4 linked regions of the Caenorhabditis elegans genome follow. The protein of the gene in region 2 interacts with the protein of the main gene of each other region in a pairwise test. Each region holds a gene or a part of one and is shown on either strand. Other genes may lie near its edges. The genes, in order: lec-1, sma-1, tag-343 and C09G1.4.

Evidence for each region.
Region 1: the proteins of sma-1 (region 2) and lec-1 interact in a two-hybrid assay, tested with the Caenorhabditis elegans proteins (one large-scale study listed by BioGRID).
Region 3: the proteins of sma-1 (region 2) and tag-343 interact in a two-hybrid assay, tested with the Caenorhabditis elegans proteins (one large-scale study listed by BioGRID).
Region 4: the proteins of sma-1 (region 2) and C09G1.4 interact in a two-hybrid assay, tested with the Caenorhabditis elegans proteins (one large-scale study listed by BioGRID).

Annotation. Positions count from the first base shown.
Region 1 is NC_003280.10:13,193,872-13,201,944, reverse strand, and holds lec-1 (Galectin), read right to left. Parts: upstream 5,000-8,073; 5' UTR 4,837-4,999; coding exon 4,792-4,836; intron 3,912-4,791; coding exon 3,336-3,911; intron 2,704-3,335; coding exon 2,467-2,703; 3' UTR 2,232-2,466; downstream 1-2,231. Other genes in the region: btf-1 (BTAF (TBP-associated factor) homolog), read right to left, coding at 1-102, 920-1,114, 1,168-1,272, 1,646-1,774. UniProt on the Caenorhabditis elegans protein: Binds galactose.
Region 2 is NC_003283.11:11,896,039-11,904,118, reverse strand, and holds the start of sma-1 (Spectrin beta chain), read right to left. Parts: upstream 4,671-8,080; 5' UTR 4,556-4,670; coding exon 4,489-4,555; intron 4,212-4,488; exon of another isoform or gene 4,040-4,211; intron 3,012-4,039; coding exon 2,749-3,011; intron 2,124-2,748; coding exon 1,944-2,123; intron 1,335-1,943; coding exon 1,050-1,334; intron 1,005-1,049; coding exon 621-1,004; intron 575-620; coding exon 1-574.
Region 3 is NC_003284.9:16,670,441-16,678,378, forward strand, and holds the start of tag-343 (RNA polymerase II-associated factor 1 homolog), read right to left. Parts: upstream 4,293-7,938; coding exon 4,211-4,292; intron 4,165-4,210; coding exon 4,025-4,164; intron 3,983-4,024; coding exon 3,873-3,982; intron 2,836-3,872; coding exon 2,703-2,835; intron 2,661-2,702; coding exon 2,501-2,660; intron 2,205-2,500; coding exon 2,122-2,204; intron 1,357-2,121; coding exon 1,247-1,356; intron 1,168-1,246; coding exon 781-1,167; intron 45-780; coding exon 1-44. Other genes in the region: F22H10.3 (Spore coat protein), read right to left, coding at 7,028-7,267.
Region 4 is NC_003284.9:15,992,750-16,000,734, forward strand, and holds the start of C09G1.4 (uncharacterized protein), read right to left. Parts: upstream 4,189-7,985; 5' UTR 4,173-4,188; coding exon 4,091-4,172; intron 1,690-4,090; exon of another isoform or gene 1,466-1,689; intron 983-1,465; coding exon 833-982; intron 365-832; coding exon 95-364; intron 1-94.

The sequences.
Region 1 (8,073 bases), on a different chromosome or scaffold from region 2:
CTCAATTTTCGTGACCACCTCATCCAATTCTTTACTAGTTGATGGTTGATCTGGTTCCGAGATTCCTTGATGCAAAAATTCGTCGTCGCTGAGGAATTTTGTCTGAAATGAAAATTTAATGTTCAACGTTTTCTTAATAATCTCTTTCAGGGGTGAGCGGCAATTGTACATTGTTTCGGCAAAACCGGCAAATCCGCAATTTTCGCCTTTTTTGCCGATTTTCCAGAAGTTTTCAAATCCGGCAATTTGCCGTTTTGCCGGAAATTTCAATTTTTAATTTCAATTCGGGCAAATTGCCGATTTCCCGGAAATTTTTCGATTTTCCACGAATTGCCGGTTTGTCGATTTGCCAAAAGTTTTCAAATCCGGCATATTGCCGGAATTTGAAATTTCCGGCAAATCGGCATATTGCCGGAATTTGAAATTTCCGGCAAATCGGCATATTGCCGGAATTTGAAATTTCCGGCAAATGACCGATTTGCCAGTATTCAATTTCGGTAGTTTGCCGTTTTGCCGGGAATTTCCAGTTTTAATATTTTCAATTTCAAAGCAATTTCAATTTTAATTTCGGCAAGTTACCGGTTTATCGATTTGCCGGAAAATTTCAGTTTCGGCATTTCGCCGATTTGCCAGAATTTTTCAATTCCGGCAATTCGGCAATTTTTCTTCGATTTTTTCTAAAAAATTGAAAAAAATGACTTTCTGGGTTCCAAATTCGAATTTTCATGGGTTAGAAACCGAAAACTCAGAAAACCCCAAATTTTTGCAAGAAAAACGTACTAAAATTTTAGCTAAAATCCAAATTTTCTCAAAAAACTTTGTGAAAAATTGAAAAAAAAATTGACTTTTAAGCAAATCTGGGCGCCAGATTCGTTTTTTTTTGGTTTTTTCCCCAGAAAACTGCCGGAAAAATCGATACCGAGCTTATTCCGGTGGCCCGATTGTATTCAAGGTGTTGATCTACAATTTCCCGCTGTTTCTGATTATTTCCTCGATCTTTTTCCGACTTTTTCAGTGCCGACTCATCATCACTTAACAGTGGCTTGAACGATCGTAAAACGTTCATCACAACGATGCTTCTGACATTTTCCGATACCGATGAGTCTTCTTCATTCTGAAAAATCGATTTTTTTAAAGAATTTCATAACTCAAAAAGCTCAGAAAAACCTTCAATCGTTCGAATTCTGGAGCATTCTGAAGTGTCGCCTGCAACGCTTTTCCAGCAGATACTCGTGTCTCCCAGAGTTGAGATGCCGCGTGTTTTTTGAGACTCTGAAATTAAGATTATTTATATATTTAAAGTATTTAAAAAAGATAAACCCCTGAAAAAAGTGAAAAAATCACTGAAAATGAGTGAAAAATCACCGGAAAAAAGCGAGCTTATATGTTTTTTTCACTCGAAATATCGAAAATTAATTATAAAATTCAGTATTTCTGGGGCATTTTGAGTATTTTAAACGAAGACTAACGGTTTTTGAGTCTAAACCGTTAGTACACCTTCAAAATACTCAAAATAACCCAAAAATACTGAATTTTATAATTAATATTCGGCATTTCGAGGGAAAAAAATATATAAACTCGCTTTTCACCCGTGATTTTTTACTTTTTCTTGTGATTTAAAAAAAATATATATTAATTAACCAACATTTTTCACGTCTTCACTTAAAATTGACAATTTCCCGAACGCAGCGGCCGCTTCATTTCGAACATTCGGATTTTTCGCTTCGAGTAGAGGGTCAAGCTGAAGAAGACGAGCCGACGTGTCGGCGCTCATCGGAAACTGAAAATTTTCAATTTTTCCGGCTTATTTGAGAGAAAAAACAGCGAAAAATGCATTTAAATCCAAAAATCCAAAAAAAAATGGGAGACACCACGCATTCCAGGGAACAAAAATCCTGAGGAAAACTTTAGAAACCCGAGTTTATAGCAGGATTATTCAGGATTATTCAAGATTTCGAGCTTCACATTATACATTATAATAATTATTGATTTAACAATAAGAAGAAAACTAAATTTTGTAGGCAAACCTGATGGGAAACACGCGCGGTTTTCACGATTCGACTTCCGTGCAATTTGTAGTGACTCGAGGAAAACGCGCTCTCCTGGACAAAAACGGCGGTACTTTCAAATATAGTTTTTTCGAGTTTTCGCTTACTTTTCGCGTTTTTTTCGCAGAACTTTTCATGATGATCCGCTTTCAAAATATGAAACCTGAAATGACAACGAGAAAATCTGCTATCCAATTTTATTAAAATACAATGTGGGGGGTGAGAAAAGATACAAAAAGAAAAACGCGGGATTACAGTTCAGTTGCCGGTGCGAAATAATAGAGAAATGATTCTTTTTGGGGGGGGGGGGGGGGGAGAGGGGCAGTAGACTTTTGGAAGATTGATCAGTGAGAGAGAGAGAAATGGGAGAGCTGGATAACAGAAGAAAGAGGGGGAACAGGGGATATCAATACATAATTTATTGGATTTGAATTCCAGACAGCTCAATGTCTCCAGAGATCTGAAGCCCGGCAATGTCGTGTGGATCGGCGCGGTGAGCGAACGAGATGTAGCGTTCTCCGTTGACGAACACCTGGAACGCGTACTCCTCGTTTTGGATGACCAAGTCGAAGCCGACTCCCTTCTCGAATGGGTTCTTTCCCTCGCGCTCCTCATTTCCCCATTCGTTGGCGGCAAGAGAGTTGCGGATGACGTGCTGGAAGAAAGGAAATAAAGAATTTGGTCAAATTTCTATTGAAATCGATTTTTTTTTGTCCTTTCACCAATTTTACCAATAGAAATAGACACATGCAAAACTTTTGTGTCTCATAAAATTGTTTGTTGAAGAGCGCCATATTTGCCCAAATGTAGCAAACAAAATGCGGGTCTTTTTGTGTATGTGTGTGTGAGGCACCACAGAAAGGAGAACAGGTGAACAAGGAGAACACAGAAACCACACCCATTTTTCCGTGCCGCAAGTTTTCCGCAAATTTTGAGGCACCACGTTTTCAGGATCTGGGGCACCGTGCCAACTGCGGTTTTTGCAGTTTTCTCTCGCTGAAAAACGAAACAACGATACTCCGATATGACGCGTCGCGTGTTGTTTAGCGTTCAGAATAATGTTTTTTTGAAATAAAAACTTTTGGAAAACGCTAAACAACACGCATAACATCGGAGCATCGTTGTTTCGTTTTTCATCGAGAGAAAACTGCAAAAACCGCAGTTGGTACGGTTCCAGATCCTGAAAATGTGGTGCCTCTCGCGGCACGGAAAAATGGACGTGGTTCCTGTTCTCCTTTGTCGTGGTTCTCCTTTCTGTGGTGCCTCGTGGCATATATCAACCCTTACCTTCTCATCGAAACGTGGGTTGAAGTGGAACGAGATGTCTCCATTCTTGCGGAGAAGGTTGACGTGGAAGCGCTTGGCCTTCTTCTCAACGGTTCCAAAGACGAGGAGGCTCTTTCCGACTGGAAGTCCGTTGGCGAGTCCGCTCTCGTATGGTACTGGGTAGTACTTTCCTCCCCAGTGAACGTGGTTCAAGTAGAGATCTCCGTCAATCGAGAGGTGAGAGATTGAGGAGAGTGGCAGACGGTGCTCGTAGTCCTTGAACTCCTTGTGGTCGACGATGATCTGGAAGCGATCGTCGTGAGCACGGATGCGAATGTCGAACGAGTCTCCCTTCTTGATTGGGTTCGACTTGCGCTCTTCCTTTCCCCATTCTCCATTCGAGAACGAGTTGAGCACAATTTTGCCCTCATCGAAGCGGACAGAGACGTGGAGTGGCACATCGTTTCCGGAGAAATCCGCGGTCTTCGAGTGAAGGTTGATGGTGAAGCGTTGCGACTCGTCGATCGTCGATCCCTTGACGATGAGCGTCTGTCCGGGCTCGAACTTCTCCTGGAGCACTGAGCGGTATGGTACTGGCTGAAAAATTTAAAAATTTTAATTTTTTAAAAAATTAATTGGATTATTACGGGAACACATTTTTCTGATAATGCGTACTGCACAACATATTTGACGCGCAAAATATCTCGTAGCGAAAACTACAGTAACTCCTTAAATGCCTACTGTAGCGCTTGTGAAATGCCGTAAATCGACACACAAGCGCTACAGTAGTCATGTAATGAACAATGAACTACTGTAGTTTTCGCTACGAGATATTTTGCGCGTCAAATATGTCGCGCGATACGCATTCTCAGAATTTTGTGTTTCGGTAATAGATTTATAAGTAGAGTTTTCTAGAACCATTTCTTCTTCCATATGCCATTTTAAAATGTTCAGTAGGGTAATCATGTAGAAATATATGCTGGGGGGGGGGGGGGACCTCGCGTGTCACACACTGGTGAACAGAATAAGCGAGCAAGAAGCGAGACCCGAAAAAGCGGAAGAGCTGTTATCCAATCTGCATCCACCAATCTTCGCGCTCCCCAGACTTTCATACAGCTGACGACGACAAAAAATGCCTTTTCTACATTGTCTAGTTGCTTTCTATTTTTTAGCTCCATTTTGCTCCATTTTGCACAAAATTTTGTTGTGATGTGCCGCCGAGCAAACACACCAGAAATATGGCGGGAATCTCGAATGTTGATAATGGAACCGAAGGTGTGGGCGAGCAGATAACGAGAGGAATGTGTCACTTTAGTGGCAACCAACAAACTTGGAATGCTCTCCATTTTCGAGCTGGTGTCAGAATGTCCCATGTCAGTTTGATCTCCGAAAAGTTGCAGGAGAAAAAATTCCCGCTTTTTTTTGTAGATCAAACATGGGACAGCCTGACACCCCCATGTATAGAGGCATGCTTTACCTTGTTCTGCTCGTACCAGCGAAGGAATTGAGGAGTGGAAGACATTAGTGTAAAGAGTTGAGCTGAGGAAAACTGAAAGCGATCGTTCAGGACGCGAGTCAAACGAAGAACTGACGACCGGTAAACAGTTTCAACAAAAGCTGAGAGTGTGAGAGGAGAGAGAAACCAGACAGTTGAACAGTCATAACATTCGCAAGCGCCGCCCAATATTGAGTCAGAGAGAGCATGGAATTATGGGAGGGTGACAGCATGTGCGCGAGGCGACATTGAAATGTTTCTTTTTGTGCATCTGTCTGTGTCTCCGACTTCTCGTACAGTCTCTCGCATACGACTTCTCGCCATGATTCATCGTGTCGTTGTAGGCGAAGAAAACAGTGAAATTGAAAAAAGGAACGGAACTTTCTGGAGAGGAAGAGATCGATAATGAGTGTTGGTACAGTTTTCAGCTCGAAATTTTTTTTGTATGATTTGTTGAAACTCAAACAACAAAAGTTTTCGGAGCAAAATCCATGCTCAATATTTGCGTCTTCGCATTACTGTTTACCGCATTTCGAGTCTGGGCGTCACGTGCAAACTTCAACTTCAAAGGCTCGAAATGCACTTCAAAAACCAGGGGGTGGGCGGCAAACGATTTTTTTCCGGCAAATCGGCAAATTGCCGGAATTGAAATTTCCGGCAAATCGGAAAATTGCCGGAATTGAAATTTGCGGAAAATCGGAAAATTGCCGGAATTGAAATTTCCGGCAAACCGGCAATTGCCGCCCACCCCTGCTTCAAACGTTGAAAAGGTGTTGCACAACTAGGGCCAAGGCGAGAAAAAATGTGGCATTGATCTTAGGCAGGTTCTCATGGTGTACTAGTGTTTTGTCCAAATTGCCAAATTGCCAAACTGCCATTTGTTGTTCTATATTCGAGAAAAAGGAGGTTACTACTCGTCGGAAGATTTTCAAGAAGGCACAAGACATCGAAGAGAAAGGACATTCATGATGAGACACGGCTTAACATAGAAGACTGCAGAAGCAATTTGAAATTCGAGTGGTAAGCATCTTAAAGATCAACTGGAAATTGTTTCAAGCTGGAAAAAAGAGATTAAAAATGCCTTTTGAGCTTTTGATGGAAACATTTTGGTCTCACTTTAGCTGAAGACGTTTCTAAATTCGAAGCTTTTCAACCTGATTCTGTAGAATTGCTGCAAACTGGACGTTATGCAAAAATCGTTTCTTTAAAATTGTTCACTTAACGATCAATCATCAGTGTCAAGAACTACAATTTCGAAATCAACTATCAACAAATATATTTTTTGCGGCGTCTGATCTTCCTTCTGATTCAACACGTAGTAGTAGTAGTCCAAACATCGGTGGTGAACTATAGAGGTGACACTTACAGAAACGGGCAAATTCTCCAAAAGTTTCTGTCCTTTCTTTTTCATTATTTCTTACGCTTGACTGGGGCCGCCGCCGCACTTTCATCACCCCCGTACTGATACGGTTTTTTTTCTATTCTTTTCTTTTTTGTTGTTGTTACAACACCGTTAGAAACGAAACTCACGTAGGACTTTGGCTCTTCGGCGGACATTTTTTGCTGGTGGTGGCTTTTCGGTGGTTCCTGAAATTAAAATTGAATTTTAAAAACATGATTATTTAGAAGAAGAAGATGAAAAAGCGAGAAAATTTCCGACGACGACGACGACAATGGCAATAAAAGTGTGGTCTCTGGGCGCAATAGAGAGAGAGAGAGAGAAGGGCAGGAGAGACGCAGCATTTCGTAAATAAAGTCCGAGAGACAACAGACGTGTAAACAAGAGACAAAAGAGCACAGAACGTGTGTGAGAGATGCAGGAAAATTTTGTGTGTGTGTGTGAGAAATGACGCTCTCTCTCTCTCTGAAGAAGAAGAAGAAGAAGAAACCATGGTGATAAAATTGTGAGAAAATATGGGAGGGGAGAAGAGATTTGTTTATGATGAGGTGGTGACACATTTATGATTGAATTTGAATACATATTCTTTCTAGGCTTTTATGAGGTACTGTATATAGGCGGTTTATGTCAATATTTGAGCAAGAATTTCAAAATTTTTCTTAAAGGTTCTAAAGTTAATTAGAATTTAAAAAAGTTCAATTTAAAAATTTGTGAGTGGGCGACAAACGAGTTTTTTCCGGCAAATCGGCAAATTGTCGGAATTTGAAAGTTCCGGCAAATCGGCCAGCCGGCAAATCGCAGAATTTGCCGGAATACCAAAAATGAAAATTTCCGGCAAATCGGCAAAGTGCCGGAATGACAATTTCCGGCCAATCGGCAAATCGGCAAATTGCCAAAATGAAAATTTCTGGCAAATTGGGAATTTGCCGGAATTGACAATCTCCGACCAATCGGCACATCGGCAATTTGCCAAAATGAAAATGTCCGCCAAATCGCCAAATTTGCCGGAAAACCAAAAAAGAAAATTTCCGGCAAAACGGGAAACCGGCAATTTGTCGGAATTGTCAATTTTCGGCAAATCGGCAATTTGCCGGAACTGAAAATTTCAGGTAAATCGCCGAATTCGCCGGAAAACTAAAAATGAAAATTTCCGGCAAATTGTCGGAATTGACGATTCCGGCAAATTGTCGGAATTGGCGATTCCGGCAAATCGGCAAATCGCCGAAATTGAAAATTTCCGGCAAATTGGCAATTTACCAAAATGAACATTTCCGGCAAACCAGCAAATTGCCGAAATAGGCAATTTTCGCCAAATCGGCAAATTGTGGGAATTGACAATTTCCGGCAAATCGGCAAATTCCCGGAATTGAAAATTTCGGGCAAACCGGCAATTTGCCGAATTTGTCGACAAAAAATGGAAATTGCCGCCCACATATGATTAAGTCGCATTGAATATGCAAGAAAAATTCTGCGCCAAGGACAAGTTGGCAGCATTTCAGATTATAAGAACATTTGGGGTATTTTTCCAAAATGTAAACTTTTTTTGAAAAAAAATTCTGTCTTTTTTTTTGGCAAAAATGGCTTTTTTTTTTGGTTTTTCAAGTGGCTTTTGTGAAGAACACAAACCTCGAAAAACGCAACAAATTTGAAACTTTCGTCTTTTTTTTTGTTTGAAACTCAATACGAAGCGCCTAATCGAAAGAGAAAAATAATCCAATGAGTTTAGTTTCTCGAGAGAGCCCAAGTGTTCATTTTTTCCTTCTCAAGTGCAGATGTTTGCTATGTCACAGTGTCTCATAAATAGAGAAACACTATCGAAAAAGCGCGACACATGTGGTATCCATCTGGTTGAAATCGGGAATACT
Region 2 (8,080 bases):
TTGCTGTCAACATCTTGAAGCGATCTTCACGAGCCAAAATATCAGTGGAAATTGCTTGTTGCTTCTTCAACGTCTTTTCAACCTGTGATGCACTGCGACCGTGTTCCATCTCTTCAAGAACCACTTGAACTGATCTGAGCCAACTGTCTCTCAACTTGGCCTTCTTGTGGAATCGTTGAGCAAGTTGTTCCAACTTTTCCTGTCTTTGAAGCTCGGCAATGATAGCAACTTGTCTCTCATTTTCGGCATAATCCAATTGTGCCCAAGCAGACTCGATATCGTGCATGAACAGTCCTTGTGGTGGTTGATATTGTTTTCTGCTCATCGCTTTTCTTTTAGTCTGGATTGTGAAGAACAGAGCTTCGAGTTCTCCCTTCTCCTTGTACTTTGGTGGTTTCTCACTTGTTCGGAATTGGTTGAATTTGGCATGTTCCTCGCGCATTCCATTAAGAGAGTTTGGGAAACGACGTGATTCCAATGTCTTGATAGTAACACGAATCCAATTGAGAAGCTCAGAAGCAATATGTTCATAATCATCTTCCATGGTTTCCGAAACCATAAGTTTTCCGACAATCTGAAAACAATTTGTTAATTTTTTTCATGAACTTATAAACACTTACATTAGCAATACGTCGAGCTCCTGTCATCTCAGTCTTTTGCTTTGCAAAATGATGATAGTACAAGGAAACATATGTAATGATTGACTTCTCGTCAGGCCTGGTAACGTCAACATCTTCAGCATCAAGAAGACGTGCAATCTCAAGCTTCTTTTCAGCCACATCAAACGCATGATTCAGATTATCCACATGCTCGTTTGGATTGAGACGATTGAAATCGACAAGATCCGGACGGTGCGAATGGATAAGTGCATTGAAAGCCAATCCATTGCGCCAACTTGTAGTGAAGTTTTCGATGCGAACATTTGGATATCCAGCTGTTTTTCTCTGACACCACAACAGCAAGGCATCTTTGGCATGTTTTCGCTCTCCACGCTCCTCCTCATCCTGAAAAATTTAAACTAAAACAAACAATGGCTTCTCTAAACTCACTTCAATGACAATAGTGTCAATCTGGAATCGGAGGATAATCGTCCAGATGAGACCCAAAATAAGTCGCTCGTTTCTGTCAAGAATGTCTTCGGCTCCAATATTTTCCAATTGGATTTTCTTTTTCTTCAAGAAGTCAAGAACTTTGTTCAAATTTTCCACTTTCTGCACACGCATTCGGCCACGATTCGGTTTTCCGAGTTTGTCTCCGGAAATGATTTCAAGAAGTTTCATGAGCATAATACCATCGCCGACATCTTCGAAAAGGTCAACAATCTCCAAACTTGCCTGAAAAATTGTTGTGCTTATATGGTTTTAATTCCTAAACTTATATTAATACCAAGTCACAGTTTTGGAAGTTAAAATTTATATTCTTATTTTTTCAAATATTTATAATTACCCTTGTGATTAACTATGATAAGATTTCAAATACCAATCTTCAAATTATATTTTTTCAACCCCAAACTTTGCAAAATGTTGCCATTTTGCTAAGATTGAAAATTACAACTCTAAAAAAACATTTATAATTTCTAATTACGTTAATATATTCTTTTAGACTATATCAAGTGTATTTTGACAAATTCCGCACTGGTTCTACCCCATATGCAACGAATGAATTCAGTTGATTTCATTGGTTTTCATCCGAACATTCCTTTCGTTCTTGCATGCAAACTGATCTCCAGATAAAGATAAGGGAATTTGCAAGGTCATCTTGGTCCGCATTACTTTCCCGTTGCATTATCCTCTTCTCTTTCCGTAAACAATTCTTCCGACTAATTGAACCTTTCTCCCTCACCTATTCCCTCTAATTCTACCCGTCTCTCTTATTCACTCTCGTGTTAACGATGACCGCCGTTATAGAATCAAATACTCCAATCAGTTGTTATCACAACTTACCCGATTAAGAAAGGAGTTGCACCATTTTGTGAACGTCTTCTTCTGAATGTGCACACGTTCGTCCTGCAGTGTCCGAATGCGTGATCTTTCAAAGTACAGTGTCTCATTATTGAACTCGTCTTGATCTGTTCCATTGGCATCTGCGCGAACTGGTGGTGCACCACTTGTTGGAACACGAACCTGAAAAAATCATTATGAACTTGATGCTAATTGAACTGTTAAATATTTCTAAACGTTCTCAGTTTTTTTTCGGATCTTTAAAACTTTCCAGAATAATATTACGGAACCAAAATTGTTACATATAAGGAAAAACAAATATTTACTAGCTCAGCGTCTTTCCGTTTTGACAGCATAGCCTTCCTAACCGGGAGAGACGCTTGCCGACCTTAATGATAAACAGAAATAACATAGAGTGTATGAGAGCACGTCAGCTGACTACTTTAAGAAAATGAATGATCTCCAAATGTTCATGAGTCATGAACAATTTATAAAACAAAAAAACAGCAACTACCTGTTCTTCAGGTAATGTTCTAACACTTGGGGTTGGAGATGAAGCTGTTGATTTCATAGATATTGAATAAATTAACTTTTTCGGCATGACTTTTAGAGCAAATATAAACAACTACTACAATCTGACAAAAATATTAGATGTGTTGGCTTGACTATTGGCAAAATTGGGATTTATGTTTCAAACGCGTAATCGGATTATCTTAAAATCCAATCATAATAGGTTTAAACATTCATTTTCGATCTACAGGTTGATGCTACTTTAAAAAGCCTGTCTAGTTCATAAATATAAACTTGCCTGCATTTCGTATTTTCTCATTTTGTCTTCAACGTTGTCTTCAGATACACCGTCGTTCACTCCTTCGCCGTAATACTCGTGCTTCTGATGTTGGTGATAGTCGCGGTACTGGTAGGGTTTTACTTCCCCACTCGATAATCCAGTACTGCTCGTCGCCTGATAGTCGTTCTCCGGTAAAGGATCTCTAGGTGTTCTTCGCAAGTGATCGAAGTCAACGTTTTCGCGACTTGGGGCAATCTCCTTGCGATACCCTTCTACCTTGTCTGAAAAATATACATTTTAGTTGATAAATTTGAAAGTTTCTTGAGTAGTTAAGTGACTAATAGATAGAGAAAAAAGAAAGACAAGTTATATATACATTTCTGAAGAGAATAATGATCAAAATGATATGCAACAGAGACGCCCACGTGGCACAAAAAAGACAAAGATTATTAATATTTGGAATCACATCGTTTTTCAGAGAAAAAGTTTGAACCTAACTTACAATTAAAACGGGAAATTGTATCCAGCAACAAAATACTTTCAAGAAAAGTGAAAGATTTTTGAAATAAAGAAATGTTTCGCCGAACATAAACAGTGAAAGAGTGGCACACGTGGTACACGTGGCATTCCTATGTGTGCGACTATTTTCTGTGTGTGTGGGCAAAGTTCACGTAATAATGTTCACGTGAAATATGACTTATTAAGAATTTGTACGTCGGATGTCGTACGACGACGCGACACAAACAAAGTTAGTAATATTTAACTGGAATCAGAAAAGGCTTACAAAAAAGAAAATGGAATAATTGGAAAGCTTTTCGAATGAAATTTTTTCTGAGAAAATGTTGGAACTATTCTGCAATTAAACAAAAAAGAGACGTGTTTAGCAATCGCTATAAATGTCCAGCAAAAAACATTGACAGATTAAATTTCAAGTAAAAAAGCAGAGAAAGTTCGAAACGTCACGAAAATTTTCAAAATTTTAAAAGTAAGGTATATTGTGGAGGTGGGGGCGTTCCCCGTGTTTATTACATCTGATAACAGCGTCTTATCACTGCGAAAAAGAAGAATGAGTCACTGAAATGTGCTCCGCGGGATGGTTGCTGAACTCATTAGTAAAGACGAACCCAGGGGGCAAAAAGTGAGAACAGAAAATGGATTAGACAACGGAGGGAATGCTATTGGAACTTTGTTTATTTTAGTGAAGCAATCTGTCACAGCATAGAGATCCCAATAAGACAGATACATAAATATCTCATACTTGGTAAATTGCAAATCGAAATGACACAGAGGACAATGATTCACTTTAGAATAGCGACAAAAATATGTGGAAAGAGAAAAAGTACTAAATTGTATTGACACTTCAACACTACCACCTATCACTGTGCCCTTTTCCTTCACGGCTCTATGGACGCTCTACTGATGGTATGCAGTGTTGCATATTTACCCTCTCGCCACTTCCATATAGAGAGAACGAAGAAATAAAGAGAGAAAGGAATGCAGCAGACTGTGAGAATGTGCAAGAATGCATATAACACAACAACACCAAAATTAGCAATATTCATACAATTTTTTACTTCGATCTATTATATATTCAAGCGCCAAAATTTAGAAGACTACTTAACACAAATATAAAAATTTAGAAAATTTGTTTGCAGAAACTAATTTGCACCTACTTTGATGTGCCCAAAATCAAATTAATAATTTCAGAATTTTTTTGAAAAACTTATTACAAAGAATTTAAAATGAAAGAGCACATACCATTGAGATTTCGAACTGTTTTGCCTTCTCCAGGCGAGTAGCTTGCCGCGAACGACACATACGACATGATAAAGCTTCACAATATTAGCAAGAATATATTATGTATATAGCAAAGTCGAAAAATAGTAAGTGGTAGTATTTCCTCCGTTATGAACAGTCTTGACAATCCGTGTTCGATTCTTGTCAGATATGGAGAAAAAGGGTCAAGGAAACACGGCGACACTCGGACAGTAGCCGTGGTGGTTCCTCCTCAGTCTTCAGAAGGTAACTTCTTATATAATCTTTATCTCTTCTGTGTTCAATTGCAACGACGTCCGGCGTTCGTTTATCCTTTGCCGAGTCTCTCTATACAATACTATCCGAATATGATGAGAGAGAGAAAGAAGTAACGGAGAAAGTGTCGGAGACGATTAGAAGACATCCATCGATCGGCGCGATGGATAAAAAGTATCGAATATGTGTATTCGCCTGACGGGAAAAGAACGGAAGGAATGTTCAGCGGCGGCAACAATTGAGTGGTGGCCGAAATGGGCGAGAAATCGAGGATTCCGGTGGCGGAAATTGACAAACACAAAAATAGCTGACCGCCACAGTGGGGCACTTGAGTTCAAACATGTCTGTTTCAAGAGCCAGGAAGAACACCGCTTTTTGTTCTTATCCATGAGCAGCCCACTTATTATTATAGTTTTTTATGATTTCTTGTTTATTGTTGACAATATTTGTTGACTTCTAGAAAAAGACATCATACATGTTCTTGTTCAAAGTTTTGGCAAATTGCCAATTTTCGAAAATGTCGGTTTTTGGAAATGTTTAAAACAATGCCTCATTTTTGGACCTATAAAATGCTTAAAACATAATCCAAATATGAGAATATTAAAATGTTTCGGACTACTTCAAAAATTATGAGTGGAGGACATTTAGTTATTTTGGTGTTTGCCTACAAAAAACTTTTTCAAATAAAAGTCTTATTATGATATTCGTATATTATTTTAGGGAGAGTTTCTGATAGTTAATCCCACTGGAGTTACTTTAAACAGGCATGACAGGAATATGCACAGGCAACTTAAGAATACTAAGTATCTCTGAACAAACGAAAAACTTTAATTACTGTAAAACTTCTAGTTATTCAGAAAATTATTTTAGAACAACTTTTCGACAACGCATATGGATCAATTCTTCAAGGAAAAAACACACCCATTTCTAGGAATTCAATCTATTCATTCAACGCGTGTATACGTTTCCATTTGTGTACTTATGATGAGTTGAGTTCGTCTGTCAACACGGATGCGTCAGAGTTGACGCATTTCGTTGAGGTATACTTGACCATAAACGCCGTCATATTGACAATGATATTGGCATGATTTATGGACGGGTAACAGGTCGACAGGTGTTTTGGGAAACAACTTTTGAAAAGAGAATGGAAATGTAGATAAACAGAGCTGTACTCCCGACTCAAACATTTGCCGAAATCTGAAGCTGACAAAATACGACTAAGTTTCTTTCACAATCGTGTAGTTTACAGTAAAAAAAATCTTTAAAAGAGTACTGAATTTTAACCTACAGTCAACAAACTTTTTGTGGCAAAGAGGAACAGAGAACCAAACAATTCCACGACAACCATAAAAACTGCGAGCCAAAAAATCAAGACTTTGAAAGGATGATAAAACAGTGAGAAAACACACATATTTTGGCAGAAGGCAGTGAAATGAAACGGACAAGAAAAACGTAGGTCTCTCCTTTTTCAAAAGAAAAGTTTCTTTCACCACCTAATTCAGTGTATCTAGTTGTCCGATCAGTCGAATGAAAGACGAAATCTCGACAAAACCGACACCGACAGTCGTCCACTACCACCTTACAAGTAGTATTCTTTACTTTTTTGAAAAGTGGAAGTGTGAGAATGTAAATGCGATAAGTTTCGTTTAGTATTAGCGAATAGGAGAAAGAGGCGAAGTGCGCATAACCTTGTGCCGAACACATTGAACAAAAAAGTGCTACAGGGTCGGTATGAATCGTCGCCAGATGTGCTACAAATGTCGGAAACTGAAGGAATGAAGGACCGGAAGAAAAATCGCATAAATTAAAGTAGACACTGTAGGGTTTGTTTCATCGAAAAGGGTTTATGTTGCGCAGCGCAGATTTACATATTTCAGAAATTTAACTGATGAATAAGCGTCGATTATCTCTAAAAACTGTGTCACCATCACTTGGTATATCAGTATATTATAAACAGAACAACTAGTGAAGTATGAATTACTCTAGAAGGAACACTGTCTAGATTATAAAAAGAACACCTATGTTGTCTAAGATACCACGTGCACACATTCCCAAGGACATTGCCCGTTAGATACATAGAATTTCAAATTTACAAGAGGTGGGAAACAAAATTTCAAAAACAAGTTGAGTGATAAAATAAGAATCAATTTTACAGGGGTAGTGAAAAATCCCATGTAAATTTCATTACGAGAAGAAACTAGAAACACTTCGTTCTTCAAATTCTGCATGGAAAGCACAAGTATCGGTTTCTAGATCTAATTAGGTTCATTTTAAAGCTAATATTGCTGTCAAACACGTAAAATATAACTGTGTATTTTAAATCTTATAGATTTAAAACAAATCATTTATAGATCTACAAAAGATATAAGCTTACATGAACAGATTTAAACCGTAACTTACAAAGAATCGGAAGTCGAAGATTGAAAAAAAACCAGAAATTACTATTTATGGTCATCAATTTTATTTTGAAAGTAAAATTATTTATTATAGTAAAACGTGAAACCCATTTAATAAAACCACAAACTATTGAGAAATGTTATTCGAAAAACGCGGCCTTGATAAAAAACGTTCACTTGAGCGTGCCGGTGTTTACGGACTCGACACTGGGCTGTGTTTCAAAAAGGTCTTCTACGCGGGAGAAAAAAGGGTGTTCTCCCTCTCACCTCTCCCGTTTCCCGCTCTCCACCAGCACAGTGACGCAAATTTGCGGACTAGACTACAATGGCAGTCGAATGGACCCTCCTGTAGGTCAAACTACAAACTCTAGATTGACCTCTGAGAATCGTGGGAATACTTGAATTTGGTAATCTGACGTCACATATGGAAATGCATCATAACATTTTTGTGTAGTTGCAATATTAAAACGACGTATTTTCATGGTTTCCAGATGCCAAAAAAAGTAGGGATTCGCTGACCATTCGTGTACTCACCAGATATGAGAAACGTTTACCGTATATCCTCTATTAGTTTTGCACCCCTTTGCTCAACTTTGACAGCTCATATCTCATTTTGTTTTGAACATATAAATAATTAACAAACTACATACTATAGAAAAACATCTAACAAATATTTTATCAGTAGACAACTTTTCTTTAGAACAAACGACTACTGAGATATGAGCTGCCAAAGTTGAGCAAAGGGGTGCAAAACTAATAGAGGATATACGGTATATTCTGGATGCATTGTGATACAAACGTGCACAAAACTGTAGGTAGAGATTTCACGTTTTCTACCACATGGAAGTACCAATTTTTGGAAATTACCCGTTTCCAAATTTTGAGAAACATTTATTAAGTTGCCAGGTGGCAGTTGCCAAATT
Region 3 (7,938 bases), on a different chromosome or scaffold from region 2:
AGGATCTATGATCACTTTTATATGGGACGTAGTCGTATCGGACGCTGAAAAACTTGAGAAGTTAAACTGGATTTTGAGTTCAATATTAAAGTCTTGGCAGTATGTAAAAATTGGAGAAAAATTTGCAAAAGTTTCAAAACTATCTTTGTTTAGTTTTTCCTCAGATCTGCTACATCTATTTATTTTTTTAAAAACAATTTTTAAAAAGTGTAAAAATTATCTATTTTCAATTACAGCTTCTCAGGTGTGTTTGGCTTTTTTATGCCAAAAATGTTATCTGATTATGACGACCACTGTTTCAATAATTTCAAAATAATTATTGAATAGTTTGAGGGCAGGTAATTATTTTCGAATTCAAAGCGGTTTTTTTTGTAAATTTTTAAATGTATTTTTTCTTGCAGGTTTGTGCATTTTTTACTGTGTTTATATGCAGTGTACTCAAATTAGTATACAGAAAACTATCGTAATTGTTTGTCTACTTTGTGGCTAGCTAGTAAAAAATTTTTAAAAATTGTTTATTTTTTTTAATTTTACTACAATCTTTAATTGTTAGTTAATATTTCTGTTTTGATAATTCTTTATTTTGATTTTTCTCATTTTTCTCTACATGCATTTGAGCTTCAAACCCACGATAGAAGCTTGAAAGCAACAAAATTACTATCTTCTTTTCAATGTTTGAGTGGAAAGTTTAAGTTTTTTCATTCAAAACAAAAAAGTCATTGTTAGTTAATTCTAGTACGGTCTATATGTATACTGATAAAGTTTTTTTTTTTTAAATACCTAGACTGCTTCAATTGTTCGAACATGGCGTTTGTTAGAGCGTTTGTGGTGGTCGAAGTGTCAGTGATTAGAGCAGCAGCAGGCGGTACAGGCGGCGCGAAACTTGGAGGCTTTGGCGGCGAGACGGCCGTCGTTGGACGAAGTTGTTGTTGATGCTGCTTCTCACTGTACAGCGGTATGCCAACAGGCTCACTTGCCGGCGGTCTTGGAGGCGGAGATGCCGGAATAGGTGGCGGACGAATTGTCGGCTTTGGTGGTGGAGGTGGGGGTGTTGGTTTGGCAGGTGGATTGGATAGTGGAAGTGGGGGAGGTGGTAGAGGTGGTGATTCCGTCGGTCGGCCAACTTGTTGTTGCCTCGAGCTTTGCTCCACTTCGATAACTGTGGATCTAATAATAGAGTGAGAATGAGTGTTAGTTTATGAAAGCGGAAATGTAATGGAATGAAAAAAAAAGAACTGCAACCTACTTGCTAGAGGAGTAAACACTGCTTCTTGACGAGTTTTGTCCAGACTCCTGAACTCCATAGATACCATCATCCACAAATGGGAGACCCGAGATTGTGATTGGGGTGGTTTCCTGAAATTTAAAAATTTTCTTAAGTTTAGTAGTTTTTAGACACCAAAATTGCAATACTTCTTGGCTGAAAATGTACCACTATCCACAAAGTAAATATTGTTTGGAAATTGTTAAAAACCACTCCTTTGGTCCCAAAATGACCAAATATCATGATAAAACTTTTCAAACATTTTTTGAAAATTTTTTATGTACTGTCAAAGAGTGGAAATTACTCAGTTTTTGCCATTCATATTTTTGGAAGTCGACCAAAAAAAAATTTTTTTTCGACATTTTTTATGTTTTAATTTTGTTTAAATTTTTTGTATGAAAGCATCGGAGGTGTCGAAACATGCGGAATTGCTTTGGATTTCCTCAAAAGCTCGTATTTTTGAAAATTTTGACAACTTGCCAAAACTTTGACTGAAAATTACGAAAAACCTAAAATTTTTGGAGTGTATTATTATGATATTCGGTTGTTTCGGGTAATTTTAAGTACATTTAGACAAAATCCCCACTGGCGCTATTCCACCTTTAAGTTAAAAAGAGTTGTGAATTTTTTTGCAATGTTTCATCACGATAGGTTTTGGGAGCTATTATGAGTATTTTGAGGCAATACAAAAACGTTTCTATACTCCACTTTTGTTTACAAATTATCAACTACATATCAGTTGAAAGTTTTGAACAATTAGCTGGCTGAGAAATCAAACAATTTCAAGCCTTCAAAAGATACCAGGTCCAAATTGTAAATATCTCCTATTTAGGCAAAAAAGTGCCATTGAAAAGTACCTGTACTTTCTCCATGAAAGAATCGAATTGATTTACAGACATTTTCCAATATCTCCTCCGATGTTCGTCATTCAGCCGATCTTCTGAAATTATTAGAACGTTTTCTTTGCAATTCCCACACTGGTAGGTACAGGAAAAAACAAATATCGCCGGATTGGCAGTTTATTTTTCTAGCGATTCGCCAGCCCGAAAATGTTTGATTTAAATGGTCGTCACGTTTTACGAGAAAAGAGGGCGAAAAATGGAGAGAGATGGAAAGTGATAATTCTTATCGAGAGCACTCAATGCCAAAAACTATTCGGTCTGTTTACAACTTTTAACACGGCGCGAGAAAGCTATGCAAACGCTGAATCAATACAAAAATTTCAATCACACTCACCCATTTGTTTTTGAAATGTACAAGACGTGTTGATAGTGAACTTGGGACACTCTGATAAACCGAATCTTCGTAAAAGAGGCTCGAAAGTTCTGGAGCCGTCGGACGCTGTGATGAACACAACAATACTGTTGCGTACATGTTCTGGAAGATTGGAGAGAACCTGGAAATGTGAAAGTAGGATCTGAAGTCAAGTTCTAGATACCTGTTGCAGTTCGTCTTCTTCGTGCATGCTCATTCTGTGCAACTGTGAGAACACAATTGCAATAACGTCCAGTCTCATCTTCCAATTGTTAAGAAGCCATTTATGTATTAAAGATGGCGAATCGAAACCATCACTGAAATTTAATTATTATTGTATTTTTTTAATCCAAGTTGTATATTTTTTGTACTGTAAAAATTACTGTCTTAAGAGTTTTCTGCATTTTTCGTAAAGTTAGTGGTTAAAAAATTTTGAAATACATTGCAATAAACAATTGAAATACATTATGTATTTTTTTTAATTTAGTAGATTAACCAAAGTAGACAGATATTATCATCATAAAAGCTCCTAACAGAGGAGGATTTTACAAGTTCTGGCTAAATTTGTAAAAAGAAACACCCGTCGTACGGCTATTTAAACTACTAGGATCATTTATCTGGAAGGAATAAAATGATTATCACGTATTTAAAAAAAAACAAAATAGTATAAGATTTTCAATAAAGTGTTAAAAAACACACAAAAAAATGGCTGAGAAAATGCAAAACGTAAGCTATGCTCCTATTATGAAATCTTCAACAATTAAAATTTTTGCAATTTTAGAATTTTGAACAGAAGAGTTGCCGATAATTTAAATCATATAATTTCGAAATAATGAATTCAAAACCTATAGAAATCTAAAAGTAAGGTCCCTAGAAACCCCAAAAACTATTGAACACCTTATAAAACAAGAAGAGTTCTTTTTAGTCCTGTTTACATTTACTTTGATTTACGACCAGATAACAAGTCGAGATTTTACGACCTGTTGTTGGCCTAATGGTAGAAGACAGTGGTTAAATGACATGGACCTCTCCATCGCCACAGCAAAATTGTACATTTGATTATGACTGCTATGAGGGACTTAGAGGGACGGTCCTTTTGTTCCCAATAAGAGCCTACATTCAATAGTACATTAAATACATAACTGGGTTTGAACATTTGACACTGCTCTAAGTTTCAAGAAAATGGTAAAGTTTTGGCCAATTTAGTTTTAATTTAATTTTAATTTGTACCAGAAACCCAAAGTCGGTAGATATCCTATTTCTTGTTTTAACATTAATTCTAAGAATAATTTATTATGCTCATTGGAATTTGCAACTTTTATGATTTTTTCCCAATTTTGAAAAAAAAACCTACTATGTATCTCCACACGCGATCATATCCAGAATTACAGGACGAACCGACATTTTTGTTTCGTTAAAAATATAGCACTGTACAGGTTTTGTAGGAGTTTCCGAGTTGAATTTCTGCAATTCAATACTTACTTTTTCATATTACAATTGTAATACTTCATTGGAAATGTGAAATCTCCTTTGATCCATTGAATCCACTCCATAAAAATAATTACACAAAAAATCGATAAGTTCTGACTTTTGAGAACTTGTTGGTCCTAACAATAAGACTACCCGGTTTTCGCGTTCTTCGTTGTCTGAAAAAAAAAACAGTAAAATTCTCAAGATAATTAAGACTCCAACCTTCCTTCGCCGAGACAAATACAGTCCTAACATCCTTCTGTTCGAGAGCTTCACCCACAAATTTCGAGTCTGGGGAGATCATGTCCTCGAGCAGAGGAGTATCGGAAAGTGCTCTACAAGTTTTGATCAGTTATTTGAGTTGGGATGTGTTGCGGCGTACAAAATGTATAATATGCAAAATGTTTGTTTTGGTCATCGCAGTTTAGTTAAACTTTCATGAAGTGTAAGGTTTCGATTTGAACTGCAATAGTTTTTGAATAGGGCAAAAAGAAATTGTAGGGTTTAAAATACTATTAACCAGAACACAAAATTTAACCCTTGAAATAAGCAGTTTTTTACCCTGCACTTATTAATTTAACAAGAGAGCATTCGGATAACTTATATATTGTCAACAACACTACAAAAAACATTCGAGAAAAGATGAAAACAAATTGTTTTAAAAAAACTTTTTTGAAACATCGGAGAAAAATATAATTTCTACGTTTGAATTTTGAGAAAATTTTAAAAAATCGCCAAAAAATAATATTTGCCATAATACTAAATCTGGCTGAGATCTTAAAATTATTTTCAGAAAGTACTAAAAATCTGCAACAAATCTGCTGAAAAATTGAGAAAAAGGATTGTCGCCGTCAAACGACCTTACTTGAAGTTTTGAAAAATCTATTTTTCTCCTAATAATTATATTTCCTTTTCTAACGCAAATTCTGGGATACCTAATTAAATTGTGATGATATTCTCTAAAGAACTGAAAACCTGCACTAAAACTATTATAAAAGAAACATTTTTAATTATGCAGAGATAATATGGTGATGCAAGTTATTATTTTATAAATTGAGTCGTCAGTTAAAAAGGGGATGAACTAATCTCAACGTCAGTTAGAAAGAACATATTTTAAAGTTTCAAAAAAAAACTAATGTAGAAAAAATCGAACATTTCATTTTGCACAAACACGTTGAGTCACAAATGTGGGGTTGCCGAGCTGTGAAAGTGCACACGCAAAGAAACAAAAACTGTTCTTATCATCAAAACCAATGATAATTATTTTATTCCTATTCTACCGCTTATGTTTTTAAGTATAACGGTACTAGATCAGAATCAAAGACCTGTTGCGAAACTGTATGTTAGGGCACTTAAAACATCTTCAGCTAGCACTAAAATTCCAGGAAATTTTCGATTTAACCATGTTTGTATTGTATTCCTCACTGCGAATTCCACCACACTGATAACTCATTCCTGTCAACACACGTACACACATACCTGATCATTTTATAGCCGAATACTTTCCGTTAGGTTGGCTGTAAATCAGCGTTGAGAAGTCATAAATCGGTTATGGTCTTGACGTAAAAGTGAGAAAAATGATACATGATGATGGGTGATAATAGTGATAATAGAGGAGAAGAGAACATATCATATTTGGTAGTAGGATTGAAACCTGTTTTTTTTGTTCGATAACCTCCAGCAGCTACACGATTCATATAATTATTACGCCATTGCAGTGTATAAGGTGTACATGTATGGGTGTCCTTGTCACCACTTTTTGATCGAACGCTTCCCAAATTGAATGGTGAAACGGTACAGTGAAAGCAATAAAGTGTGAAGTACAGCTTGTTAAGAATGTTCTGCAAGACTTGTTTAATAATTATAGTTACAAACTCAAAAACTTTTGAAAAAATATTATGGTGGACACTCAGCCAAATAACTGAAAAATTGACTACTAGCTCGAAAACGATAATAAATTAAAAAAAAAACTATTGTATGTAGGATATAGAAAATTTTTCACGGAGGTTATCTTTTTCACAGTTATGAATAAACTTATTGTTTAGACACTCACACCAGTGAGCATATTTGCATTTTAGTTAAATGCGAGGGGGCAGATAGCTCAGTCGGTAGTGGTGGCCGCTAGCAGTCTGGAGGTCACGAGTTCAAGTCCGGCCTCACCCCCTAGGTTTACCCAGCCTCTATTGGGAAGTGGAGCAATCCACGACAGGATTATCGGCCACAGTCCCCGGCTAGGACGTGGCTTAAATTACAGCCCAGAGGGATCACCACCAGGCAGTGTACCTGAATCCCAGATCCGCAGTGCATAGCACTTGAAGAACGGATCGTCCTTTAATTTTTTTTTTTAATTACCTCGCGAAACTTACAATTTCCTATTTTCGTTTTTACCTTTCTGCTGGGTTTTGACATTTTCACGACAGGGTTTTTGAGAAAAATCAAGGGAAATGAGAAACGAGGGTAGTAAATCGTGATCCACGCGCAAATTACATAAATACTAAATAAAAAACTCTCAAAAATAGTTTATGAACTCGCGGCAACATTTTTTGCATAGTTGTGCCACTTAGTAGAAACACTGAAATTTATGTGCTATATCATTTAAATATTATTTAACGACGTTACTATCATTGTACACGTTTCTCTCTCTAAGTAAGTAAGTAAGTATCTAAGTATCTTAGAATGTTGGGTTGTGTCAACCGTATAGAAGAACTGAAGTATTTCTATGCCATGTGAAATATTTGAGCCCTAATTGCCTTCTCTGTGGAATTCACGTTTTGATGGTATTTGTTCATGAATTATTTTGAATTTTTGTCATCCGAATGCCACAGTTATGTGTCAGACAGCATACTCGTAGTTTTAAATTTTACTAGTCAAGTAGAACCATGCATCATTATGGTGGATAACTATCGTTTTTCTGAATTAGTGCAATTTATAAATTGGAAACAATTAAAACAATATCAAAACAATTTATTTAATACATCAGGGCAAAATATCACATTTAAAAAAACGTCCAAAAACCCCCAACCAAACTCCAGGCAAAATTTAGCAATGATGATGATGGTGGAATGGATTCCAGTGATGATGATGATGATATGGTTCCTCAATAACAACAACTGGTGGTGGCATTCCATACATTGGTGCAGCCATCATTGGTGCAACTGGAACTGGCATTGGAGCAACCATTGGAATTGGAGCAATTGGTGGAGCATATCCCATTGGTGGTGGGACATATCCGACTGGTGGTGGGTATGGGTACGAACCGTTGTAGGGGTTATAGGCCATGGCGAAGAAAGTCGAACTGAAAGTTGAGAAATGTCAAGAAAGTCAGAAAAGCGGCACGAAGAGGGTTAAGTAAACTGATAGGCAAGGTATTAAAAATGAAAATGGAGAAATAAAAACGAGGCAAATGTCATGAGGCCAGTCAAGGTACTGATGGGAATAGGCTGATAGGTCGAGGTATTTTATATCGTTTTAGTATCAGCGGGAAGGAGAAACGCGTCACTTGATATGCAAATAGTGTGACACTTTTCCCGAATAAGTTTCTCCTATTCATCGATTTCGAAAATGAAGGTTCAATGAGTCATTGGAAGAATTGGAAGAATGACATATTTAGAAATAAAAAAAGCAATAAAAATAAACAAATTCTAAAAAAGAAGATCTAATTAAAGAAATAAAAGTTGCCATATTGGAAGAAGTGACGTTAGTATTTGGCTCCCGTCAATATTGACTCAAAAACATCAGGAGCGAAAGCTATGTCGAAATAGAATTGAGGAACAATTGTTTTATTTCTGTCAATTTTTCGTGCTTATGGGAATCACTCAAATACAAATCAATCTAGACGATTCCGGAATCAAAAGTCAAAAGCTTATCAGTAAGCGTACACAAAGCAATCAGTGGTCTTCAAACTTTTGGTAAATAGAGTTCGAGCCAAAGTAAATCAATTCATAGTACGT
Region 4 (7,985 bases), on a different chromosome or scaffold from region 2:
TCATAAATTAGTTACAACTTGAGCAGTGTTTTTTCGAGCAAAAAAAAAGTTTACTTAAAAAGTTTAATTTATAGAATTTGCAACCCGTGCTCACCTGAATTCATCAGCATCTCCTGTGGATCGTTTCTCGGCGAAATGTGTGTGGAGGAGGTTCCGCTTGACGTCGACGCGCCGCTGTCCACCTCATCGGCGAATCTGACTCGGTATTTGGCCTTCGTGGCCGTTGCAGGTGCTTGCTGTTGGGGTTGCAGTGGTAGCCGTCGGGGTGTGGTGCTGTAGCTGGCAATCTTGCGCGCCGAGTTTGGCGTGAGGTAGTCGGCCGATGAGTGACTACGGTAGTTCTGATATGCTCCAGGGGGGAGATCTGAAAAATGTGGAAGGTGACTACGAAGATGTAAGGATTTGATAACAAAACAGTACCGCAGTTCAAAAATTTTTTATTGACAATTTCATCCACTAAAAACTATGCAAATATTGCGCATGTATCGTGTTAAAAATCGACATGGGCCGTCCAAATTTTTAGCAACACTTCTGAGTTTTTTTTGTAAATAATTGAACCGTTTATAGAAACTCTTGCCCTCTCACGGGAAGTTAAGGCTGTCCCAATACAGTTTGATCTACAAAAAATGCGGGATTTTTTCCCTAAAAATTTGTATGTGTCAAAATGTGTCAGCACGCTCTTGGGCCATGCCAAATCAGATGAGATGTCTGCGTCTCACCTTCCGCATTTTCTGTAGATCAAAGCGAAATGAGACTTTCTGACTCCACTAGCAATGTAACTTTAATCTTCCTTTTTGCCTCAACATTAGAAATACCAATACCATTATCTCACCTGGTATCCTCCTCTGGGAGTTCACTTGCTGTCCGTTGACAGTACCGTTAAACCCTGTTCCACCAAACCCTGCAGCTGCTCTCGGTGAACCTTGATCACAATCTGCACTTATGCCACTGTCCGTGTCGCTGTCTTGTGGGGTGAGATACCCTGCAAATGAAAAAAAATATGAAAGTGCAATAACCTCTGCTATTTCATTTACTTTACTTTTACTTCTCCACCTCCTCTCTCTTTTCTATTTCTCACGGCCTTAAACCAAAAAAAAAGGGTCTGTTTGGGGGGAAACGCGATATGTCCGCATTATAAATGAGATAAAATGAAAATGAAAAAAATGGAAGTAGGAGCTGGAGCGGTAGTAACCGCCGACAAAAAAATGAAAATGTATAGGCGAAAAGAAACTGCAAAAAGTAGCAGCAGGAGAGGAAGAAGAAGTGGAACGTGACGTTTTTTGGTGGCGGCAGCAACAAGGGGATCAGGAGAGGAAGAACAATGAGTTTAAAGCATGTTTGGACAGAATTATTGATGACATCTACCGAAGAGTAGAGAGCAGGGGAGAAGAAAGAGGACGGCAAAACGAGAGTGCAACACCCCATCCCTCACTAAAAAAAAGTTTTGGCACATTTTTCTTTCGTTTTTTTTTTTTCGTCCACTCCCTCGTGCCTGTTAAGGGTTGAAGTGGTTCGGTTCGACCACACGGAGAAGTGAGGCATGCTCTCGAGGAGCACTGGGAATGCCTATATCTTTGAAAGTCTGAAGTCTGAAGAAAAACTGAAGCTCTTTGAAGCCGATCTGAAAATCTTTTGCATCATTTTCAAATGGTGTCAGGCTGTCCTAATACAGTTTGATCTACAAAATCGGCGGGAATTTTTTTTTCAGAAAAATGTGACGTCAGCACACATGGTTAGCCATACGAAATCAGGGGAAAAGTTCTCCCGCATTTTTTGAAGATCAAACCAACATGGGACACTTTGACCCCACGTGGTTTTTTTTATCAAACAAATCAGTGAAAAAATTGTTTTGCATTTCTAAAATGGTTGACTGTAAGTATATTTTTAAAGCAATTTTAAAGACATCGGAAGTAGAAAAAAAGTGCTGAACATTTCAGATTTACTTTTTTCAGCTCAATATGCTTCAGTTGAGCTTCATACTTTTTCAGTATACTGTTCAAAAATTATATTTCAAATCAAAAAGGTTCCAATCAAAATTCCAAGATCAAGCTCAAGTAAACACTGGTAGCGCTACGATTCTTTGCCCTCTTCAGCAACCAATGATTATTTTCAGAATGGGCTCTCCGTTTACACACTCAAAAAAAACGCGCAAATATTCTGCATCATGGGCGCTGTCTGAATGCTCTTCCTCAAAATGCAATAAGCAGGAATGGGTTGCGGGCAAAACGCAGAACGCACTTTTGTTGGGGTTTGTTGGACCAAGATCAGCACATGGTGCCGAGCTAGAAGTGTAAAAGTTCTGAATGTGTAGTACTGGGCTCTTCGGGAGCAAAAATGAAAAAGGCACACACACATACACAGACATAGTCTCGCTTGAAAAGGTCCACGAACACAGAGACTTGGCATTTGAGATGGGTTACAAAAAAAAACGCTGACCGCGCGCCGCGTCACTTGCTCACTTTCCGTTTTTCTTATTTTGAAAAGCTTGTCGTTTTGGTGTGTATGGCATGTTACACTGAAACTGAGAAAACTTGACGCTTTGTGGTGAGCGACAAAAAAGGGAGAATTACTTTGCAATTGAAAGCCAGAGATCAAATATCTGTTAGATTCGCTTCAAAATTTTGGAATACAAACGCACAATTTAGCAGTTAAATTCAATTGCTCCAAAAAAAATTTTTTCTACACTAACGTTTTCAACACTAACTAAGAATTACTCAAGACTTACCTAACGTTTTACCTAATTTGAAAACATTTATTTCACAGAGACGATTGAAAAGTTTTAAATAGCGGAAATGCGCTCCTAAAATTTTAATAGAGTTTGTTTTGTTTCAATGACTTTCAGATCTAAATTTTCCGAAATTAGTTCTTGCAGACTATTAATGGCCACTGGAGTTTTGGGGAATAGGCAAAAACGGGTATTATTTAAACATGGAGTAGACACTCATTATGATCTAAAAAGACCAAATATCTTAATAATACAATTCAAAAAATTTCAGGCTTTTCATAATTTCCGGTTAAACTTTGGCAAATTTTCAGAATTTTGAAAAATAAGAGCTTTTGAAGAAATCCAAAGCAATTTCACATGTTCCGGGCCCTACAATGTTTTAATCCAAATAATTACTGTATAAAAAATGTAGAAACATTTTTTTGGTCGACTTCCAAAATTATGATTGGCAAAAACTGAGTAATTGTCACTTTTTGACAATAAATAAGTTTCATTATGATATGTGGTCATTTTGGGACCAAAGGAGTGGTTTTTAACAACTTTCCCACTGGCGCTACTCCACTTTTAAAGAAAAATAGCGAAAAAATTTTGCAATTTTTTAAAACATTCCGTTAAAAAATACCAAACATTTTACCGAAAAAAATATAATGTTCATAATTTTTTAATATGTTACTTTGAAAATTCTGCAAAGACCGATTTCGGAGCATATTCACAATTCTAAACAAAAATAAAAAAAAAAAAACTCCAGAAGTAGTTACGTGTTTAAAATATCTTTCATATTATGAATATCTGTATCCATAAACTGTGGCTGAACTGAACTCATAGAAACATGTAAAAAACATAATTGTGCAAAAATGGCTACACCACTGCATTCGAAAAAGTACGTTTTTGAAAAATTCATAATTTGCCTCTTTTAGCTCGGAAATAATTCATGATGAACGAATACTAAATGACTAGAGCAAAAAACAGGAAAAAAATTGTTCAAACGGTTAAAAGAAATTATGTATTACATAGTAAATGTTCCAAAAAAAACGTGAATAAATATTTGTAACCTGTTTTTTAAGCAACAAGCGCCAAAAACATTTTCCAGTCGATGCACCATGTTCGAAATCTAGTATTCCACATTTATTTTAGGCATATGGTAGGTAATAACTTTGCTCTTACAAAAAATATTAGAAACAAATCACAGAAAAAAAACATTTTTTGCGAAAAAGACACGTATTCAAAAAAAGGTACGTCTATTGAAAATTCATAATTTTTCCCTTTTCTATTTGTAGATGACGAGCGAATACTGAATGACTGGTGCAAAAAAGAAGAAATTAATTTTGAATTTGGAAAAAAAAGTGAGAAATAATTATGACGTACCTCCTTGTTGATAAAACTGGCCACGCCCCAAATTTCGAGGTTTTGGTGGGGGCATTGGAGCCTGCCGATTTCCAGAAGACATTGTGATTTGTGTCTCTGAAAATTGTAAGTTTATAAGAGAACAATTTGAAAAAAAAGATAACATATCAGAGGTAAAGAAACAAATGATAACATCAAAGACCTGATGGGATATAATCGGCCTAGTTAAGGTATGTTCTCAATTTTTGGGGGCTGCGGAAAAGTAGGGGAAAAAAAGAAGGCGAAAAAAAAGCGAGATGGACGTAAAGATGTGAAAAGTGACACTGTTAATTGGATATATATGTAAAGTGGACACAATCGTGACTGGCACTGGTGCACGTACTGACGTCTTGGAAGTTTTAGGTGTGTTTTGATCAAGAGTAATTAAATATATAAGGGGGCAAATAGCTCAGTCGGTAGTGGTGGCCGCTAGCAATCTGGAGGTCACGAGTTCAAGTCCGGCCTCACTTCCTAGGTTCACCCAGCCCCTATTGGGAAGTGGAGCAATCCAAGACTGGATTATCGGCCACAGTCCCCGGCTCGGACGTGGCTTAAATTACAACCCAGTGGGATCACCACCAGGCAGTGTACCTGAGTCCCAGATCCGCAGTGCATAGCACTTGGAGAACGGATCGTCCTTTGACCCTTTAATCTTTAAATAGTGAAAAATAGCTACCCTCGTATTGTTAGAAATATCGGATTTTACTATGATGAGTAAGGAAACTGATTGAAAGAGCATCGGAAAAAAAGATTAAGAGCACGCTTTCAAAAATACAGCTTTCTTCCAAAATAACCAAACAATGCACCTAAAACTTTCTATTAAAAAAAAACAAAAAACAACTTGTGTCCCCATTGACAATTCAATGTTTGAACACCAACTTCGGCATTCGAACTTGAAGCAAAAAAAAAACAGTTTTTCTTCACTACTATCTCTAGAATGCACACCATTCGTGGGCACACCGACCTAATAGAACTGTCCCCAGGGACGGATTGATCACGAAAAGGAAAAGGTCATACAACACACAATGCAGTCGTTCAGAACAATGTGATAACAAGAAAAAAAATAGAAGAGTGGGTGTACAGAAGAAAAGCAAGGAATGTTCTGGAAAAGTGAAAAAAAACGAACTTGAATACAGTGTAAACATTACATAGAACTAGGATTTTTTGGCGAAAACATAGAAATGGCGAGATTGTTCAGAAGAGACCCCAAAAGCTTTTGATGATAACTATTAGGACCTCCATGGAAGCGGCCGACACTTTTCGGGTTCCGCGCAGCACTAAGCAGGAGGCGCGGCTCGCGGCACGAGGCAGACGTCGCCTGCATGAAAGCCCTAATATTTATGTTTAATAAAACCACTGGTATTGCAAACTTTTTCGTGATTGTCATTGGGTTTTAATTTTAAATTGAGGGTAATGACTATAAAGAGGACTATGAAAAATTTAACTTCAAAATTCTAAACTTCAAAAACTACCGCAATACCAAAAATGTGACTCACTTATGATCAGTATCTGAACCGCCAAACCCATTTGCATTATTGCTTGGTAATCTAACACCCGAATGGCGGTAGACACACACACACGTCAAAAGTTAGGGTTCCATCCCGTCCCCCTCTCGTTAAACACATGTTTAATCTCGCCAGATGGTTGTGATGCCTTAGTGAATGATGTACTTACTCTTAAGCGACGAACTTCTCTTTTTGTGCGAGCCGAAGCAGCAGGATGTACGTGATGTATCAGGAAACACATAAATCTATCGCGAAAAAATGGGGAGAAAAAGAAAGAAGAAGAATACTGAAAATAGCGAACAAAACTAAAGATTGATAATTTATGCAACGGGTAATAGATAATGGGTAAAAAAATACTTTTCAATTTGTCGGAAAACTTGTAATAAATGCGTTCCGATTAACAGAACTAATAGTAAGATGTTAAATTATTTCGCCACAAAAAAAATCTGATAGGACCATCTATGCACGTCATACCATTTTATTTTTCAAATAGTATTTCAAAAGCCGAGAAAAAAATAGGGGCTCACTATAGTTATCGTATCATAAAGCTTGATTTCTTCGAAAAAGACCGGAAACCTGCTAGTCCCCTCTGATTGTTAGTGACGCGTTTCATGATGCACTCCCTCTTCTCCGAGACTTTTCTCTTTTCAAATGTTTGTACTGATTTGAATTGAATTGCCATTCCATATCAGGAATAGCTGAGAGGGAGTTTGGGTGTGGTGGGCTCGGTAAGTTTTGAACTGGCTGGATTGTTTTATTGAACTAGGAACTATTAGCCATTTGAAAACAGTCAACGATTTTTCTATAAAAAAGTATAACATTTGTTCAAGTATATCTTTTTAGTTTGCTGTACTCATTGAATTTAGTAAAAAACAGAAGAAAAGCATCAGAACATTTTCAGAGAAACTGAAATAAAGTTTATATATAAGTAGGGTATATGGATTCTAAATTGGCATGTGATCAGCAAGATCTAAAAAATTTAAATTGAAAATTCCAAATCCTCCAAAAAATTTCTACAGTTTAAAATTACCTTAAAACACCAAACTATGAACTATTCTAAAATTAACTCCGTCATTTCTTTCTGTAAAGGAAAGTTAAAAGTGGAGTAGCGCCAGTGGGGAAAGTATTAAAAACTACTCATATGGTGCCCGGAAGATTGAATGTCATAATAAAACGTTTCAAAAATTTTTTTGAAAATTTTTCATTTACTGTCAAAAAGTGGCAATTACTCAGTGTTTGCCACTGATAATTTTGGAAATCGACCAAAAAAAATTAGTTTTTTCTGCATTTTTGATACTGTAATTTTGTTTTAATTATTTGTATTAAAACATTGTAGGGGTCGGATCATGCGACAATGCTTTGGATTTCCTCAAAAGTTCATATTTTTCCAAATTTTGGCAAATGAAATCATATCAACCAGTTTTCTCATCTCAAAATTAAAAAGTAAACTTTACATGCTGGGCATCCCCAGACGCTGAAAAATGTACCACCTATTTCGTTTGCTATTCAATATTTCTTAGGTTTTACGTTTTCAAGTAGGAATAGATGCATATTTAATGGGCCCAGGAAATTAATATATTCAGTGATCTTTGGCAGAGCCGGTTCTAAGTTTGCACTGAAAGAACATGTCTACCGAGATGACAATAGTTGAGAATTTAGGTACAGAATCGATAATATTTATGTTGATTTGCAATATTTAAAGGTGGAGTAGCGCCAGTGGGTAAATTGTTAAAAACCACTCCTATGTTGCCAAAATGACCAAATATCATAATAAAACTTTTCAAAAATTTTTTGAAAATTTTTTATTTACTGTCAAAAAGTGACAATTACTCAGTTTTTGCCACTCATAATTTTTGTAGTCGACGGAAAAAAATGTTTTTTTTTCTACATTTTTCTACTTTAATTTTGTTTTAATTATTCGTATCAAAACATTGTAGGGGTCGGAACATGCGACAATGCTTTGGATTTCCTCAAAAGTTCATATTTTTTTCAAAATTTTGGTAATTTGCCAAAACGTTGAGAGGAAATTATGAAAAATCTTTTAAAAAAATTTGGAGTGTTTTATTATGATATCAGGTCCTTTTAAATCATTGTAAGTAAATTTTGACAAAATCCCCACTGGCGCTACTCCATCTTTAAAAATTGTGAGAAAGGGCATTCCTAGCAAAGACGAAAACTGATATAGTTTATTAAATAAGAAATTTTCTTATAAAATGCAAAATTGGAAATCCGGACAAAATGAAGACCAACTACTTTTGTAGCCGTTTCATACACCTAGCTGTCTCATATAAAAGTACCCCGACTACTTTGAACAGTATCCAACCAGCTTCTGGAAAGCCATACCCCTTTTACTTATTGCCTCGGGCATCTTT